Oreochromis niloticus: one gene and its partner. The protein of the gene in region 2 interacts with the protein of the main gene of each other region in a pairwise test. Links are inferred from orthologs where the notes say so. Each region holds a gene or a part of one and is shown on either strand. Other genes may lie near its edges.

The links.
Region 1: the proteins of gnmt (region 2) and arrb1 interact in binary tests that used the Homo sapiens proteins (3 or more experiments, as listed by UniProt). The link is inferred for Oreochromis niloticus from reciprocal best matches to the Homo sapiens genes GNMT and ARRB1.

What each region holds. Positions count from the first base shown.
Region 1 is NC_031979.2:38,768,593-38,778,191, reverse strand, and holds the start of arrb1 (beta-arrestin-1), read right to left. Parts: upstream 4,203-9,599; 5' UTR 3,943-4,202; coding exon 3,884-3,942; intron 1-3,883. UniProt on the Homo sapiens protein: Functions in regulating agonist-mediated G-protein coupled receptor (GPCR) signaling by mediating both receptor desensitization and resensitization processes.
Region 2 is NC_031983.2:26,630,458-26,640,825, reverse strand, and holds the start of gnmt (glycine N-methyltransferase), read right to left. Parts: upstream 3,808-10,368; 5' UTR 3,424-3,807; coding exon 3,215-3,423; intron 957-3,214; coding exon 829-956; intron 1-828. UniProt on the Homo sapiens protein: Catalyzes the methylation of glycine by using S-adenosylmethionine (AdoMet) to form N-methylglycine (sarcosine) with the concomitant production of S-adenosylhomocysteine (AdoHcy), a reaction regulated by the binding of 5-methyltetrahydrofolate.

The DNA of each region.
Region 1 (9,599 bases), on a different chromosome or scaffold from region 2:
AAGCTGAGCGAGTCCAGGTGTGCTGCCAGATGTTGGTGTTGATGTATTTTGGGCTTCGTGAAGCTCGTGTTGCTCCTAACCCCGCAGATGTGCTCCAGTCCTGAGCTGCGTTCACTGCTGCTGGTCCTCCGAAGGCCAGTGTTGGGGAGTAACAGAATACATGTGCCGGCATTACGTTACCGTTTAAAAAGGTGCTATCCAGAATACAGTTACTTTGTTGAAATAAAGGGATTACACAGCGGTCACTTCCTGTGTCATATGTTACGCTGTCCCCTCTCTATTTTTGGTAATTCCACGCCGGTGGAAACCCAAACAAAACACGCATTAAGAGGCTCTAATGCCTGTGTCTCACTCTCACGGCCCATGTCACCTCTACTGCAGCCGCATAAGAACGTGACGAAATATTTTTGAAAATTATTATTCAAAAAATAATTTAATATGAAATCAATAGGCAGAGTGTTACAGGCTTAGCCCTAAAGAATGTAGACATTTTAAAAGTAACCTTCCCAACACTGTCTGACACGTTGCTGGACTCCGGTTTCCATCTCTTTTCTTTTTCTGACTGAGTGAAACTGAAGGTGGCAGGAGGCGTCCTGCCTGCACCCGGCAGAGCCTCGGGAAGGCCCCGGTCTCCACACAGGACCCAAACATCACAAACATCATCTTCATTATGAGAACCCCAAAATGTTGATTCTGTTCATGTGGACGCAGCATTTTCAGCAGAGACTCAAACCTCAGTCACAGTGACACTACCCACTGAATGAACAGTGGCAGTCCAAACGTACTGTTTATAAGGTTGGAAACCTGAAAACATCCAGATGAACAGAATCAACCTTTTGGGATTTCCTTACCTGGATGACTGAGCATGCATCATCATATTCATTATTAGAAGCTACTTTGCGCCTGTTTTGTGTATCGTGTCAGAGCAGAGCGATGATGAGCACCAGGCTGTGACCAGCAGAGCTCTCATCGTGTCCACAGCTGTGCAGATTTTTGCGCTGAGAGCGAAGCAAGAAGAAAATCTGAACATGTTGAGAGAGTAAGTCTGGCTTCAGCCGGGCTGTGAGTGTCGGAGCGCTCACCGGATGGTGTCTGATGTTTGCTGGGACTCTGCACAGTCACATATTACAGAGGGTGTGCCGTCAGCAGCTTCCTCTCTGCATCTCTGTCTAATGCTGCCCGACAGCATGACCCCCCTCTCCTCCCCCCACGTTAATGTTGTCATAAATTAGCTGCTGTGGCTCCATTAGCTTTCAGCTTCCTCCTGAGTGGCTCTTCATCAATCAGCAGCATCGGGACGCCGTTTTTAGCCGGAAACCGGAGGGACTCCTGGGAGCTGCCCACTGCACGATCACCTGCTCACCACACTCTCTGCAATTAGGCCAATTAAACTTTAACACGGAGCAGCTCTGCCATCTGAAATCACAAATCAGGCTGAGCGGCTGGAGGTAAAACACCGGCTCCGTGACGGCGACAGCAGAGACGTTTATCAACCTAGGTTGCTTAAACTTGATCTCTTCTTGATTTTTAATCACAGCTGAGCGAACGTGTCGGCTTCAGACGGCCGCAGGGACAAAACACGACATCCTCACAAGCCGCTGTGCTAAACACTGGACATATAAATGCTGGTGTTTGTGTGAAATGAGAGAAAAGATGCTGAAAGCTTCGGTAACAGGAAGTGAGCGTCTGAGAGAGTGTAAACACGATTAAAGATTCATTGAAAGAGAGCAGAGCTGAATCTTCAGAGCCGAGGATGCGGTTAGAGCTTCATCGCACAGACGTGAATCAGTGCAGGGTTACAGCACGAGAGGGGCTCACATTTCATCTGAACACGAGTAACGACTTTATCACATCAAAGACGCCAAGACAGCTCAGAGACAACCGAGAAGTCAGAGCAAATATTATTACATTTTTCCTCTTTTCGCTCTCAGGGTCCAAAGCTGCTGCCACACAGTGAAGCACCTGGACAGGTACATCTGTTTAGAACCACCACTGAACCGAACAACAAGCTGAAATCAAAGACGTCACGTGTGGCAAAACACCTGATGTGGGTTCTGACGTCTTCCTGCTCTTTCCTGTTTTCACGCCACTGCTCAGGTTCACCCAAAGTGACGCCAGTCCCTCTGAGGCTCGTTCACACCTGAATAAACACACTTCCTGTGTAAGAGAGTGATGTGCGTGACTGCACACCCCAAACGCTCTGATGCATCATCATTGCTCCTTGTTGTTGGTTTTATTGTTGTTATCACTCAAACTGATGTTTGTTTTTAATCAATAATCCTGAATATTGATGAATATTGACGCGTACAGAGACATTTCTGTCACAATAAAAAACATGGATCCTTCAATGCAACCGTCTGTTGGAAGAACTTTCACAGATTCATTTGCTATTTTTCTGTATCAGGAATAAGTTTGGTACCTTTGAGATTTTCTCACACTTCTTGGTTCGCTCGAGGTTTGTGCAGGTGAAGCAGCAGCGCCGCTGATCGATCGGCCGCTCTGACACAGGGGGAACGCTAACTGCCCGATCGATGCCTGATTGTTGTGTCAGCTCTGCAGCAGCAGACGGCCGATGATTGAAGACTCCCTCGATACCCAAACTGCAGCAAAGACTCAAACCGGCATTTCTCGCCTCCTCAGATGTACGACCGCCGGGTTTCTCTAACTGGAGTGTGACCACCGAGCTGCACCTTCGTTCTGGCCCTCGACCGGCTCAGGATTAAAGTCGGACCTGGTTCTGCTGGGCTCAGGAACATGAATGAAAACCACCAGCATGAACACGTGAAGATCAGCCTCGGCCACGCACAGGAACAAGATCCAGAAAGTCCGTCGCCTCCTCTGAGCCTGAGCCGGTTTCAGATTATATCCGGAGATCACAGATGTCTCTGGGCTGCAGAGGGGAGGGACGTCCCGCGTTTATCAGTGCTTACCTCATGGCACCGGAAACACGGGAATCCAACAGAAACATCTGGCAGCCATTACAAACATCTGGAGCTTCAAACAGTTGTGAGCACAGTGTGAAAATTTAACCCACTGTGGGGAAATAAAGAGACATTTTCAGTGTCCTGACTCACACACCTGAACGATTGTGGAAATCAGTCACCGAAGACGTTTCACCAAGAACCGAAGAGGAACCAGCAGTGCGGTAACATTTTAAAGCTGCTTTGGTCTCATTTAGTCAAAATCAACCCAGACCATCTGGAGCTTTCCCACAGACACCACGGAGGAGCAGCGTTTACACGAGCAGCCAGTTCAAACAGAAACCCTTTATTACATTTTCTATTAAACATGAAACTCTGTGAAAAGCAGGCTGGAACCTGCAGCTCTCAGAGTCCCGTTACTTTCTCAGGTGATTTATTGTTTGTTCCATGTGTTAAAAACTGGGAAAAGCTCCTGGAGGCTCCGTGAATCAGCTGACTCCTCAGGTCCTCCTGCCAACTTTAGCTTTGACTTTAAAATCCCCGTAATTACTTTTAGGGCCTGGCATAGCCTGACTGCAGCATTAATCAATGAGCTGCTGATCACACTTACTGCTGACAGCTTTATTGCTACAGCACCTTCTAACATTGAGCGAAATCTAAATGCTTTATATAAAACTAAATGAGCAGATATAAAATAAAGACGATGCTGAAATCCAGCCCGTTGTTTGTTTTTTAAAGCCGGTCCTCACTGCAGTTAAAGTACTAATACCACGAAAATACACCAACCAAAAGTAAAAGAGGAAATATCCGGTAAGAGTCAAGCTGAAGGAACGCAGTGGTCACTCAAACAACCACAGGATGCAGAAGAGCATCTCTGAGGCCACAGCAGCAGCAGCAGAAGACCACACCGCTGCTGCTCAGCTCAGCACAGGAAACTCAGGCTAACGTTCACACAGACTCACAAAGCTGGACCACAGAAGGTGGAAAAACACGTCCTGGTCTGATGAGCGTCGATTTGCATCTGCGTTCAGCTGCTGCAGGTGTGACCGTCTCAGCGCTCAGATCTCCTCACACAGGCTTCCTGAACGATCCGTTCGATGCACTCAGAGCAGGGACGGGAGATTCTCATCACGGATGCAGACGGAAAATCTGCAGCAGCTGTGTGCTGATGTCACATTGATGTCATAATCATGTGGACCAAAATCCCCGAACAGAACGTGTCAGAGCAGGTACAGCAGAGCTCTGCGTGGAACAGCACCTTTTCATTTCCTCCCTCCTGATGTGTACAGCGGTCGTATGTGAATATTAAACGAGTCACAAACAAACCTGAGAGCGTGACGTGGCTCAGTCCTGTCCACTTATGCTCCACACAAACACTCAAACAGATTCTGGGACTGACGCTGCTTCCTGTGAAAAACTCCTCAGAGAGTCTCCAGAGCTGCTCTGTATGTCTGACTGATCAGCAGAGCTCGTTAATATTCTCCCGACGCGACTCATTCAGATCATTGAGCCCGAAAACACAGAAACCCACTCAGACACAAGACGACGGCAACCGCAGCGCAGAAACGCTCCGCCGCCACATTCACCATCAGAATGAACACGGCAACACGTTTCTGCACGTCTCCTTTATTAGAGCTTCGTTTTACTGCGAGTCACAAACTGAGAGAAAAGGACGTGTGTGTGTGTGTGTGTGTGTGCGTGTGCGCGCCTGTGTCAGATGACCAACAGTCAGAGAGGCAGAGGCTGAGCGTCCATCAGCAGCCGCTGTGTCGCTACGTCCTCCGTACTCAGAAAGGACTTCATGTCACAGGACGGTGACCCTTTAACGTCTCAGCCAATCCGGGCTCTGATGGCGGGTGCAGAAGTCTAAGCAGATCTTTAAGGTGGTTTAGAGGAGGACTGCTCTGAAGTGCAGGCAGATATACGCAAGCAGCTGTTTGAAGAAGACACCTGATCTCAGCCCAGACTCTCTCAGACAAATATTAAGAGATATATGCAAAAAACCACGCAGCTATGTTATACCAGCAACTGACTAAAGATGTGCAGGAACCAAAGCCGCTCCTCATCAATAAGCCAAAAAGTCCCTGTTGCATCTGAGCGTGCTCAGTTTGGCCTGAAATACAGTACAGTGCAAAGGTTTTAGGCAGGTGTGAAAAAATGCTGTAAACAAAGAATGGTTTCAGAAATATAAATGATTGTTTATTGGCCCCAGATGTATTCTGCCTTTGGGGTCAACGACCCCAAACACAAAGCCAAAGTCATTAAGAACTATCTTCAGCATGAAGAAGAACAACAAGTACTGGAAGTGATGGTACGGCTCCCACAGAGCCCTGATCTCAACATCATGGAGTGTGTCTGGGATTACAAGAAGAGACAGAAGGATGTGAGGAAGCTGACATCCACAGAAGATCTTTGCTTAGTTCTCTGAGACGTTTGGAACAACCTACCAGCCGAGTTCCTTCAAAAACTGTGTGCAAGTGGACCTAGAAGAAGGCAAAGGGTGCTCACACCAAATACTGATTTCTCTTTTGTTTATTCACTGCATTTTGTTGATGGATGAGAATAAATGATAAATGAAAACTTTTATTTTGTTTACAGCATTTTTCTTCACCTCCCTAAAACCTTTGCACAGTGCTGTAGATTAAAGAGGTGGTGCTGCCAGTGCATCATGGCAGCTCTGTCACTGAGGACACACCTGCAGGGTGAGTAGCACTGATGAGTTACAGGATGCACACTGTCCACATCCATGAAAAAAGACAAATAAGACACATAAGACGAAAGAGTGCTGCCGTCTCAGACCAGCTAAAGAAATGTGTCATCACGTCACAAGACCCTAACAGTTCCAAAAACACCCCAAAGCTAAGCTTAGCCAGCAAGTCCACAAGGAGACCCGAGGCAATCATGCGGCGCTTACACAGCTGATGGATAAAAGACCAGGACTCCATCCCTGTGGGACGCTGGCATCGATCATGAAGGGGGCAAAAAGTACCAGAACCAACATCAGAACCTGAATGATGATGTCATACCCCACCAGCTGTAAGATGAGCTAAAGAACCTCATCCAGGACTCCCGACCTCCACCCTCGGTCTGAGGAGAAACCTGCTGTTGGTACTTGCCTGGTTTCAACAGCATCACGGTAGCTAACAGGCTCAGGTGTATTACAGTACTACTCACCTGGTTTGAAGTTCTGAAGACATTCTGGCTATGAGCTAATATTTTAGAGTGGATAGGGTAACGGGTTGTTTTCAGTCTGTTATGAAAGCCTGTGTGAAAGCTTCACTGTGGTTATGTCACACCGTGATCGTGACATGCAGCAGTGATAAACCTGCACGCCACTTTCAGGTGCGTCTGCTCGTCATCGCCATTAAATGATTAACGTTTTCATCACACGCGGTTATATTTCATCCTGATGGGTTTTATAGCCAGCACTCAACTTTAACTGGACAGCTTTGCTGCGAGGAATGTGGCACGCGTGCAGGGTATTTTCCCGGCGCTGTGCTTGTGTATATGTGTTTAATTCACCTGCCAGTAGGGGGCAGAATGAGGAGTCTGTGCTACATTAGCACCAGTTTTGCAGAAGCAGTGTGGAGCAGTGGGGGAAATCACTGCACCTGCAGCGTGCTCGGTTCGTCTATTTCATCTGGTGAAGTGTTTCTGCGACACTGCTGAGGTCTGCGGGGTGGAGCGCACTCAGCTGGAAGATTTCTTCCTGCTGCTCACATAAAGCAGGAAACGGAGGCTTTGGGCCGACTTTCTGCTGCTGTCTATGCTACGAGGGTCGCCGCAGCTTTAACCTCAGACTGTGAGCAGCTTGGAAGCAGCTGAAGCTTCCTTTATTACCTCCTTTAGTAAAGGATGCATCAGAGTTTCCTTTATGAAAGGAAAGGAGATGATGGCATCCCACAATTCACAGCAACGACCCATCAGACCTTAAAGGAAAACAAACAGGCCATCATGTGACTTACTGCTGAGTTTTCCACCCGATGACGGCCATCTTTGAGCGACCACAGGTGAGCTCTCATCGTGTTACTGTGTGCACACCGTCTGTACACAGCAACCAATGAGAGCACAGCAGGTATCTGAGAGGAGCTTTTTGTAGTCCATCCGCAGGACTTTGTAGTTTCACCGCAGCAGAGCCTGCAAGCCACAGCTGATTCTCAGAGTGCCGCAGTCCTCCTCTTCAAGTCCTCGTAAACAGTCCTTCACATCTTTACTTCCCTTCCACTGAGGTCAAGGAAATGTGATTAGAGAAGATGCAGGAGGTCATTTTTTCACTATTTAACCACAAATCAAGACTCATCTGCTTTCTGCAACAAGAACTGAAGCCGCTGAACGTTTGCACTGGTCTGTGGAAACTCAGGGAGGTTCAGTTGGTTCCTGCAAGCGTGAAGCACCATGCTTCACATTTAAATTCAGTCCAAATGGGTACAGGAGCCAGTCTGTGCACCACGGTGGATTTTAAACACAGCCCCATTTTCAGGCGCACAGACTAACAAAGTTTCCAACTTTTATGATATTTTCATTGGGTGAAAGTGTTTTGCAGTCAACAGCAGGACACTGCCACATGCCACACTTCCTCATTCAGCTGCTTGCTGTTTGTGGGTCTCTGCCTTCAGCTTTAGTATTTAAGAGCAAACAAGTTCAACACTTAACCTGCTTAAATTCTCGTGGAATAACGAGGGAACAGGCCTCGCTTGCTGATCAAAGTGCTCCTTCATCAACCGTCCAAGTACGTTTGGAGAACTGTGTATAAACCCTACACAGGAACAAAATAAGAAACACGTGTGTCCTGAGTGCAACACTAAAGCCTCTGACCGGTCCTCACCGTGTACCGCCACGAGGAGCCTTCACACACGTCACTGTCTGCATTGGTGCTCGTACTTGTGAAACAGCCTCAGGGCATCAAGGGTGGTGATTTGGGAAAGCCAAGTATCCCAGAATGCATTTCACACAAAACAGCAAGCAGCAGTGGCAACAGCAGCAAAGCTGGAACCTGGAGTAAACTTTCAGAATGCTACTGTTGTTGTGCCACAAAAGTCAGTTTTAAGATATTTTGGGGGAGAATTTAGTTGTTTAGGCTTCATATGTGTGGGACTCATCACAGGTTTGAGTCGACTGATCAAAATATTACCAAACTGAAAACTCCAGGGATGTTTTTTCACCCTTTTCTTGGACGTCTCTGCGTCTCTGGGTCTGACGCACATATTGCTGCATCTCGACCTGATCGCACACCTGAAGAATGTCCTGACATATTTTAAGCCGCACACTTTGTCATTGTTTGTCTCTTGTAAGCGTTGGAGAGACGATGACTCAGTAGTCATTCCTGTTATAGTTCTCTGAAGTGCGTCACCAGGGGCGTACGCATAGTTGGTCTCTGCAGATTGGTCAGGCAGGCGTGAAGACATCCACACCAATCATCAGCTCACCATCTCATGAAGAAATTTACATCACTAGCAGATTCGCAGACACGGAAAATGTCTTGACAAGCACACATCCACATGGTGGTCCTTCCATGAAGCTACACCATTAGTATGCATGAGCTGCCTCGTTGGGGACGACTTCCCCGTGTTATGGTGTCATTGGTGGGACCCAGTCTCATTGCCCCATCTAGGAAAGGGGCTCGTCAGTGAGAGCCTAGTTTTTGAGCCTTTACCCTCGTATGAGTCCTCCATCGCCACAGGCTTTCAGCACACTGGTGGAGGATTATGGATCGGAACACCAGCTGGTCAAATTGTCTCTAGTCTCCAAAATATTTAATTTGGTCAAAGTCCCAGCAAAGTCCTGACACTGAGGAACCCTGAGTTCTCAGTCTGATACTGGGAATGCAAATGTGTGATTCTTCATCGATAAGCATCATCTGTGGGACAAATAAGCTGATGTTTTGATCCAGCTTCCTGTTAGTAGGCTCTTTCATGCTTCGCCTAACCTGAGATTGTGAAGTTCCTCTGGTGGATGTAACAAGGAGTCAAAGAGCAAGTCAGCTGACACCGACTATAATGGACTGACAAAGCTCTGGATTTTAAACCCAAACCTGCGGTTCCTCTGACGTCCAGCAGAGGCAGCAGTGAGTCCACCTCACAGACGTTACAGCGAAGAGAACCTGTTTCCAGCCTGATACACAAACTGTTCGGTCTCTGTGGATCATTTCTGCTTCATAACACTTGTACGTTCCGGGAGTCTTTTAATAACGCAGCTGGATTAAAGTTTGTATTATTAGGGGCGTGGCCTCTCTGACTAACAGGTGGATGGTGACACAGGCGGCTGTAGCTGCTAGCTGGCTGCTAGAGTTCACCTAAGCTAACTCGAGTCCCTGCACTGGACCTCCAGACGGTTGCTGTCGGAGCCTTTTGGAGCATTTTTAATGGCATTATCTGACCAATAACATGGCTGCTGTGAGGATGTTGATTCGATGTTACTGATCAGCAGGTGTTCATTAAAGCTGGTGGAGAGGTGAAACATGGGCTCAGAACCCCTGAAACCTCTTAGCACAGATCCAGAACTTGTCCTAGATCCCAGTAAATCAGTCACGAGCTCCAGCAGCCGATGCACCTGCACGCTCTCCTGACAGAAACATGAGGTGTGCTTTCTGTGGTGATACTGGAGCAATAACAGGTGTGTTAGGAGGCTGCAGGTGTGCTGGTTTATCAGCAGGAGAGAGCTGTTCACATCCTGTTTGGA
Region 2 (10,368 bases):
ATCCAGAGGAAATGTAGATATCCACCACAAACATGCGCGCACTTTCCAACAGTTTAAGACAAATAAAACAACTGAGAGTGCTGCCCACACACAGGGCTTTATTGGGATCAACCCAAGCATGGCAGCCAATGCAAAACAAACACCACACAGTCTTTCTGTTTTATTACTATAAGAAGGTCCGTGACTAAACGTCATACTGATTGCTTAGCTTTTCAACTTTAAGCTTACCCTGCCATCACTTCCACTGATGTTGCTCTGTTGATGAACTTAACTTTATGTTAGGATGCAAATTCTCTGACGAATGCTTCATTTGTGTCACTTCTTCAATTCTTTCACTAAAATATTTTTGGCAACTCATTTTAGGTTATTTTCCATTGATTCATGAGAGATCAATTTACTAGTTAACAATCCCCTAGCAACTCGCCCTGGCCCTTATCTCATGCTTTAACTACCAGTTGGCTCACTGGCTTCAATATCCTTCAGCTGCTTCTTTGGAGAGGATCTCATCCCACGACTGGAGCTGCTCCAGCTCAACTTGTACTGCAGCTAGACTCTGTAGTCCTTGTTCTGCTCTAATATTCCACTTGGGGATCAGAACCTGCAGCTTGTGCTGCTCTGCAGAGGTCACAGAGACAGCAGGGAAGAACAAGGACTGCTGTCTCCAGCTGTGGTCCAAGATGGTGGACTTTGAGCTAATGGTGAGGACGAGAGGCTCACAAAGACTGTCACAAAATGCTTGGCAAATATGATTTGATTACTGACACAAATAGAATCTAAATCTGTGGAACTGACCGATTCAGTAAATATATATTTTTTTAATTTTCATACCCCACTGGTCAAAAGCTGGTTCTTTTCTCCTGTCCCATCTCGCCTTCAGTGCATACTTGAGCATTTTGTCGCTGGCATCCACACTCACCAAATTAAACCCCTCCTCCACCAACATAATGGAGTCAATCCTGGAAAACAAAATCCATGAATACGTTTAAAAACAACAACCGACCTGTGAGGATCATGATTTGGTGCAGTAGGTGTGTTTAGATTTTGAGGGTAATCCCTGCTGTCATCTTCCCCTGAAAAAACAGTTTGATCAAGTCTGAGTGCGAGTGTGTGTTTGCTGCGACCGCACTACATGTGGTTTAGTAGTAGGTTGATAAGCTTATCGTCACACTACAGACAGGAATTGTAACCTTGTCACAGGTAAGGAGAGATGATTTGTATGGTAGCGAGAAGCTACTACTGTTTTGAAAACCTGACAGGAAAACGTGATCGCGGGCCAAACCACAGCCTGAATAGATGCTACTGACTGACTTTCAAAAATGTTTTCTCTGCTATTTATGAGTTAATAATAAACAATACAGACGTGTTTCAGTGCAACAGGGGAGGGATTCAATGGACAATAATGCAGAAATCATTAACATCTACCGGGTAACTGCAAGATAATAGATAACAGCAAAACAAAGCTTATGTAAAAAGAACAGCCAGTTTTCCAGTTTTGGATTAAACAAAGTCTTAGGCTAAAAGCAAATTCACATCTTTTAGTTTTCATCTTGGCATCAAATCTCAAAGGACTCGATGCCTCTACAAGAGGGATCAACACCATTTCCTCTAAAAGATGGCCCTTTTATTTGGTTCAACTGTGAGTCTGGTGACTGTGAAGGCCTCAACTTAACAGATCCAGCATAATCCTTAAGGTATGAGTCAGGGATTCATGGTTTCCCTTTAATTTGTCTGTATGCCTATCCATTCTGCAGTTATACATAAGACTTCCTGCCTCAACCTATGGAATCCTAAATTAAAAAACTCTCACAGGTTCAGGTGAAGGTGATGACGATCCACAGCCTGCAGCTTCTTCTCAGAATTAGAAAGCACCACAAACGCACTCTGGCTGCCAAAAATAGCTATTTGTAACCGTGATCCACGAGGAATATGTTTACTTTGAGGCTGCTGCACTACTGAGGCGCACCACTACTAGGGAATGGGGTCAGAATCAATGTGCTGGGGTGCTCCACACCGTAGGAAGACAACCATGTGGCCTGAGATGTGGAGCTGAGTTATTATGGAGATGACTGCAGTTCTGACATGAACATTATAAGCTCTGTAATGTTGATTAGCAGGTGAAATGAGTGCTAAGTGATGAGCAAAGAAAAAAAAGGTACATTTATGATAAACATCAAACAATAAAATGGTTAGAATGCATCTCCAGTGAAAATTCTCCATGAGAAAAACAACAGCTGAGGTGACGTATATGGTCTGCTTGTCTGTGCTTGGGCAATGGCCTTGCTGCTGTGTGAGAGCAAAGTCAGAGTATCAAGGGAGATAAAAAAGACTGCAGGAAACCAGACAAAACTCCTTTCAGCTACCCAGCACTAGTTCATCACCCACTGACCTACTAAGTGCAAGTTTACGGTTCGCTTGTGTTTAGTTTGCTTTAGAAACAGGAAATTTAAATGGACAACACTTGCTGCTTCAAGCTTGTGTCACAGACATATTACACCTCTGTAACTGAATCACATTTAACCAGCATGTGTAAACCCGCTGTGTCTACACCAGACCAGTGCAGGAGGCAGGACGTGGCTCAGGATCAGGTGCAACTCTGCACTTTCATTCATTATTCTGTGGCTTAATCCGGATTTTGTCCCGAGTTAAAAAGGGTCAGTGAGTTGAAATTCCACAAAAGTCAAACTCACTTGAACGGCTATAAAGTTGGGTACACGTACAAAAAGGCCTATGTGAGCTGAAATCACTTTGTTTTTACCCACATATCTATCAAGTACAGCAAAGAAGCAAACACCATCATCACTATCAGCTACTCCTACACAACTCTGTTCTGAAGCTGCACAATCACTGTGAATCACACAAGAGTCACACCTTCTCACATATTTGAAAAGCAATAATGTAGTCTGAATCGGCACGATTTATGGCGTCATCAGCAGCTGTTCACCTGCTGAATCATTGTGAGCTCAGGTTTTTGTTTGGCATATGCAGTTTAAATCAAAGTTTAACCATTAACAAAAGCGTGCTCGGGATACTTGGATAAAGCCGTATTTAAGATTTTGTTATGGAAATTTCATAACGTTTTGGCTTATGTTTTTTATATTTGATTATATTTATAGATACACACTAAGTCGAACGATTTTTAAGTGGATTTTGATGAAGCAGAGCTGAAGCCCCTGTCAGACGTGCTAATAAGACTGCTAATTTGACCTGACATTACCCTGTTCCGCAGGCTACATCCAGCACACTCCGCACCCCGTGCTGCTTCAGCAGGGACACCACCCAGCTCCTGTACTCCTGCGTCCTGCTCTTCGTGTCTCCGATGTACAGCTGCCACACTTTCGCTGCTTTGCCATCGGCGTATTGATCAGGAAGACCTTCGGCTGCCACACCGAGAGACCGGGTCCTAAACACGCTGTCGACCGACATACTGCTGCCCGTACCTGTACCTCTACCTGAGTGTCTGTTTGAGCGGACAAACAAGTTTGGACTATTTTAACTGGGTGAGGAAACACGCTACCTCTCTGACAGGTATGCTTGCCACATGCTAGCCGAGATGTTATTATTTATATGAACAACCTAAGACAGAAACTTTAACCCAATGACACGCCGTCGAGCACCGCCGCCTACTTTCTGATTGGATAACCTAAGGGGAGCCCGCCCCTTTTCTGTTTAGCATTGGAATACGTCACTCGAGTGAAGCTTTGCTAGGTTGCCAATTTTTCCCCTTGAGCTTACCTTCCAGGATAAGTTCCACACTGTATTCCATCAAAATTAAATTAAATACCTCAACACGTGCATATTAAAGTTAAAATTAAGTTATGTTTGACGTTGGAGGAGAAGTATTTATTTAAGTATAATGTTAAAATAAAGTAGAGCTCACGAAGCCCATTACCTGTAAGGTTTTACTCAGGGAATATAATCCCACCAACAGTGGCACAGAGGACTCGCCCCCTTTAACATTTCATCATCTATCGTTTGATCATGCTGTTTGGACGCATTGCTTGCGAAACATGCATAGTAAGAGGTTTTTGCAAAATTAAAATCCTAATAATTTCATTTTTTAACAATGAAATGCACAGTGCTGCAGTAGTTAAGTGCACAGGGTGTAATGTAGGTGAACAATGTGATTTAAAAAAAAAAAAAAAAAAAAAAAAGATGGAATAAAATCATCTCAGGACTCTCTTAGGCACTTTTCGTGCCCTTCCAAACAAAGTGAACTCCTCCTGCTGTGATTGGCGGATTTAGTTCTGTAGGACCCATATTTACTGGTAGAGGTGAGGTCATGTCAGCTACAACCAGTGCGAGCTAGGTAAGGTTTGCAACTTCCAGTTTTTTCAGAACTGCACTACTACCTTATGGGTTGTTCACGCACACATACACACTTACTACTTTCAAAAATCCAGATCTGACTTCGAACACAGGCATAGTTATGTAATTCAGCCTAAGCAGGAGTTGGCAAGAACGCACAGCACTGCCTAGAGGAAGTCACACATTAATGCACCTTTGGTCTAGTCTGCCAAAAAGACATTCCTTCCTGTGGTTGTTTTGATGATGGTGGTGGAGAACAAAATGACTCACTGCGAAGGACACAGGACATGATTCAGATCATTTTTATCCTCGCTGACACGTCATGACATTTGCATGTGGGCATTGTCATGGTTGATCATAAAGTAAATCACTAAGGCTACGTTCACACTGCAGGTCTTAATGCTCAATTCCGATTTTTTTGATCAAATCGGATTTTTTTTGTCTGCTTGTTCACACTACAAATAAAATGCGACAGCAGATTAAACAATATTGTTTGACTGATGGCCCTTAATATAAAGACTTCGGACTTTACGTTTCCCAATTTTTGCTTTAAGTTATTTTGTTATTTACATAATAATGTAAATAACCTAATAATTATCGTTATTGCTGTTTTAGAGGAGCGGTGCTTCAAAGGATAGCTGCAGATTTCTGTCAGAATCTGCAGATTATACAGTACAAATAAAATGTTCACGTTGTCTTCCCAACAGTTTCACTGACATCTACACTGGATGGCCAGGAAGCGTTCGCGATGTCTTCTCGGGCGCTTCTCCGGCGCTGATAATTGGTGTCTGTCTTGTGTCAGTGACGTAAAAGACGGATTTAATGCGACATGACCGTTCAAACAGCAGTCGCCTTCTAAAACATCAGATATGTATCGGATTCAGTACCACATACGAAAGTGACCCAGATCGGATTTGAAAATATCGGATTTGTGCCGTTCACACTGTCATACCATGATCGGATATGGGTCGCATAGGGTAAAAAAAAAAAAAAAAAAAAAAAAAAAAAAAAAAAATCGGATTTGATGCGCTTTCGCCTGCAGTGTGTACGTATCCTTAGGCTTAATATTAAGGGCCATCAGTCAAACAATAATGTTTGCTCTGGGTCTAAACAGAGCGCGTTGTGTGTGACATCTTCTTTTGCTCATGCGGGCCGCTTTGAGCGTTCACACTAGAGCGCGTTTGCTGTCGCATTTTATTTGTAGTGTGAACAAGCAGACAAAAAAATCGGATTTGATCAAAAAATCGGAATTGCAGTGTGAACGTAGCCTAAGAGCAACCTTGTAGCATTTTGTATAATCTTTGCTTCTAAAAGAATAAATGGACCTAAATCATGGCCAGAAATTGCACCCCAAAGCTTAACAGAATGAGCAAACAGTGGTTTAGTTTTTGCTTTAATTTGTCACCTGCCCGTATACACAGTCACTGAAAAGATAAGTGATGATCAAAGTTCCAGTCTGAGTACACACAGGTGTGTGTGTGTGTGTGTGTGTGTGTGTGAGAGATATATGAGAGAGAGACTCTAATACAGTTTGTTGAATGTATGCGTTAAATTAATCATTGTATCCCTTCTGAAGTATTGCGTCAATGCTCTTGTTACAACTTGAAACAGGAAGTGAGTGCTGTGAAGTTCAGAGATTAGTCAGATGGCGGAACAGATGAAAGGGAAAACGGTTACATTTCAACGTGTTGTTTTCAGTAGGACCGTGATTGACACCACTTCCAGCGCAGAGCCAAACTTTGCTGGAAATCACCTCCTATCAATCAAATCAAATTTAAGATTGACACAGTTACTGCCAGTTTGTCGGCTGCACATCATGTGAATCTTTTATTCCACCACATCCCAAAGGTGCTCTGTTTGACTGAGATCTGGTGAATGTGGATGCCATTTGAGTACAGCGAACACAAGTCATGTTCGAGAAACTAGTGAGATGATTAAAAGTTTTTGGTATGTGGTGTTATCCTACTGGAAGGAGCCATCAGAAGTGGGGTACACTGTGCTCATAAAGAGATGGACATGGTCAACAGTATTCAGGCAAATGTGCAAACAAATGTTGCAGCAGAAACAGAGTCCGGAGACCGGCTGATGGGTTGTTGAAGCGACCTGGAAATTTCCCTTAGAGCTCTGACATCAACAAAGGATTTTTAGCCAGTAAACTGCCGCTCGCTGGATATTTTCATTTTTTCACATATATATCATCTGTAAACTCTGGATATGGTTGTGTTCTAAAATCCCAGCAGATCAGCAGTTTCTGAAATACTCACACCAGCTCGTCTGGCACCAACAACCGTGTCACTTTCAGAGCCACGTAAACAACCTTCCTTCTCTTTACTGATGCTCAGTTTGAACTTCAGCAGGTTGTCTTGACCATGTATACATGCCTAGGTGCAATGAGTTGCTCAATTCTGATTGACTGATCAGACATTGTTAGTGACGAGTAGCTCAACAAGTGTACTTAAAGTGGCCAGTGAGCGCGAACAGATGAAAAAAATGGGACAAATAATTTTTTGCTAAATAAAATTGAAAGAAAAACACAAGTCCGATAATTTATTGATCAATACACCTACAACGATGTCCATGTCTCTTTATTTATACAGCACGTTTCATTACATGTTGCTTAAGAAAAATACATTTTAAAAAATGTAGGTGTACAGTGTCTCAAGGCCATAACAACAAAAATAATAATTAATATTAGAGATATTTTATATTTTAAAACAGTTGTTACTAATGCTATGTGATTAGAAGATACAGCTTAAGTAATTCTGTTTCTGTTGGAACAAACTGTAATTTCCCAAATTACAATTTGACTCAGTTCTGACTGCCTTCCCATACTTTTTTCAGCACTTTGTTCTTGAGGACAGTAGATGGTGCTATAAGAGCAAATATGAATGAACTCACACTTGAACATGACACATAACTGACCATAAAATTACCTCAAAAAAAGACCTGAAATAAAAGTATACACATGTCATATCTTTAAAACTCATTTGCAAGGAGTTAAATGTACAAATATGAATGATTATAGAAAAAGGTCAGCATGAACATATTTATACATATGCTGTACGTGAAGTACACAAGTATGTTAAGGAGTGTAAAAATTGTTTGATTACTTTTTGAATACTCTGTACCATTTTATATACTGCTATATTATATGTTCAAGCATTAATCAGTTCATAAAGATGTTTCGAAAACTGCTTTTGGAAGAATACAAAACTGATAAAGTTGATGACTGATAGTGTGTATGTATAACTATGCCAAATTGTATCTGAATTATAGCTATCAGTGTAGCTATCTTTATACTTGTCCTTCATTCCTTATTGTGTGGGATAAGTGATGAGGGGAAGTTGGGGTAACACTGAATATGGTGATTCAGTAGAGTGAGCGTGGGGTAGGGATGAATAAGTATGTAACATACTTCTTCCTACTCCATTTCAGACTTAACGGTTGTCATTTCGTGTAATTTAGAATCTGTTCATTTTATTTTAACTTTTGTTTTTGTCTGAGAACGTGTGTGTATGTACATATATATTCGTATTTGTACATGTAAATGCAAGTGTGTGTGTGTGTGTGTATTGGTTTGTTGTATATATCTGAAATAAAGATGATGATGATGATGATGATGATGTAGTAGTAGTAGTAGTAACAAGAACAAGAGCACATTGGTTTTCCTTCATATAAGCTCGGAAATTATGTAATAAAATAAAGGTGTAAACCTCCTAAAATGATAGCTGTTAAAATGTTTCATATATCCAAATGTAGTTCTCACTTTTCTTGTTTTCCAAAAGGAAAAATGAGACGTGAAACATTTGGAATTCTTTACGTTCATCTATACATCTGGCCAGTTGTTCATCTAACCTACAATCCTTTCTGACTAAAAACACACAAATTAAAGCATGATTAATGACTATAGGCTCAGCCTGCTGGTCAGGCTTCTGAGAAAGCAAATATGACTGGAGCTAATAGTTGGAGGCCAGTCGGTAATTGGAGGTGTAGGTTAGAGCTACTTTGACTGGTTAAGCCATTTAAACATTTAGCGTCTTCTGCTCCCAGTGATGTGGACCACACCTTTAGGTTCATGAGTGTACCATTAAATAACTAGGAGACAACACCCAAGAATACCCAAGTCTACGATAAACAACAAAGAGCCAGAGGACTCTGTCATTTTGGGGTAATGATTAAGTCACAACATTGTTGCAATTAGAATTTTCTCTTTGCCTGTAACGCTTAACTACATAAAACCTGATGACAAAAATAGATCCAATGACAACAACGACCACAATCAAAATCCACAGAAAGTGCACCCCAGGAACAGAAGAAGCCTTCAGTGTATTGTTGCTGATGGGTGGTTTGACAAACGCTACAACGGGAGGAGTTGTGACTGGACCTTCATTAGGGTCCTCACAAAAGTTACCGTCAACCTTTAGAAAGCCTTCAGGACATATGTCATAGCCAGCCTCTTGTATACTAGGGCATCTTTTTTGTGCACAGTGTGGTTTGCACTGCCTGGGGTCTTTGTTGTCTGGTATATATTGTTCGAAACATGAGCATGTGTAACCCCCCTTAAAATCCTCACAGTTCTGCTCACATGGTCCAGATGAACAGCCTTTATAGCTTTGAAAAAAGGTTGGATGCGATACTTCTTGTCCACGGCATACATCTTGGAGCTCAACTTTGCACATAAACCCATCAGCTTTATCCGAGCACGGTCTCTCTGTCCATTTTTCATCACTTGAAAGTGATACGCAGTGTGGAGAGCAGAGTTGAATGTGGTTATTCCAAGATGGAAGAAAGGTGATGCCCGGTCTGCCAGATATCCACTTATAGCCTCTCAGTGGAGCTGAGAGGTTGCTGCAAGCACCAGCTGGTAAATGCAGCCCGATCCAGTAGTTCCCAAACAATTCCTGGCTCAGAATGTCAAACAACCTCTTATCATTCTTAGAGCACAACTGCAGAAGTTCTCCTTTCCTGTCATGGCAGGCCTCTTCAGCTGTTTTAAAATCCACTTCACCTTGGTTTAGAGTTATGCAGTCAGGTTTGCCATAGTGACTGCAAACGGCCCTGCAGTGGCCAGGCTGCTTTATATCCAATCCTTTTCCAAGAGTCAGTAAAACCATCAGAATAGTCATACTCATCCTAAGCACAGGCACTCTCGTCTGCAAGCAGGCCATGCTGTCTCATAGTGGAGTACAAAAGGTTGCCTGTGTTAAATGATGGGGATTTTCCAGTCTTTGTGCCACTGCGGAAACAGGGTCTCTCAGGAAGGAAACGAGATAAACACATTTTTTTTTTCTTTAAGCAGGACCAACAGCAACAAAATGAAGAACAATGTATAGATATACTAAATATATGCAATGGACTCTTATATAAACTGCCAAACAAATACAAGTACTTGCCTAAAATCAAGATTCACGATTCTATACCAAAATTTGAGCCGGCACACTGGACCTCTCTGAGAAGTCAGGAATTAATCAAGCAGAACACTCAACCACTAAATTATTTTTTTCAGGAATGTAAGGTTTAATTTGGCATCCTAATCAAAAACAGTAATGTGTTTAAAATAAATCCATGGATAATAACAATAATATTAAATTAAATTTAAATTTGATTCAAATACTAGCAAATTAATCTTTACAAAAACATAAACAATGATTCTGGTAATAGAATGGGCTTCATGAATTGTAGTGCTATCTATATATGTAAAATAAGAACAACAGATAGCACAGTCCACATATATATATTTTATTAAAAAACACAGCAAAAAACGCAAACAATTCGTTTTAGATTTTATACTTACAGTATATCAGTTGACACCAGTTTCATCTTTACATTATGGCGTGTAGATGTGGAACTCCAATCAAATAGACTCATTTGTTGGTGTGTACAAGTACAACATGTCATTGTCAGAGACTAAATATGTTCACTTAAAGGTACTTCTTGTTCAACAAAAACAAGAAAATTACCAGCATTTTTAAACATTTTGAAAGGCACCTTTTGTTTTTTATTATAGTCTGAGTCTGCCCTGTTTTAGCAGGATGGAGTTTAATAATATCTTTAAAAAGGCTG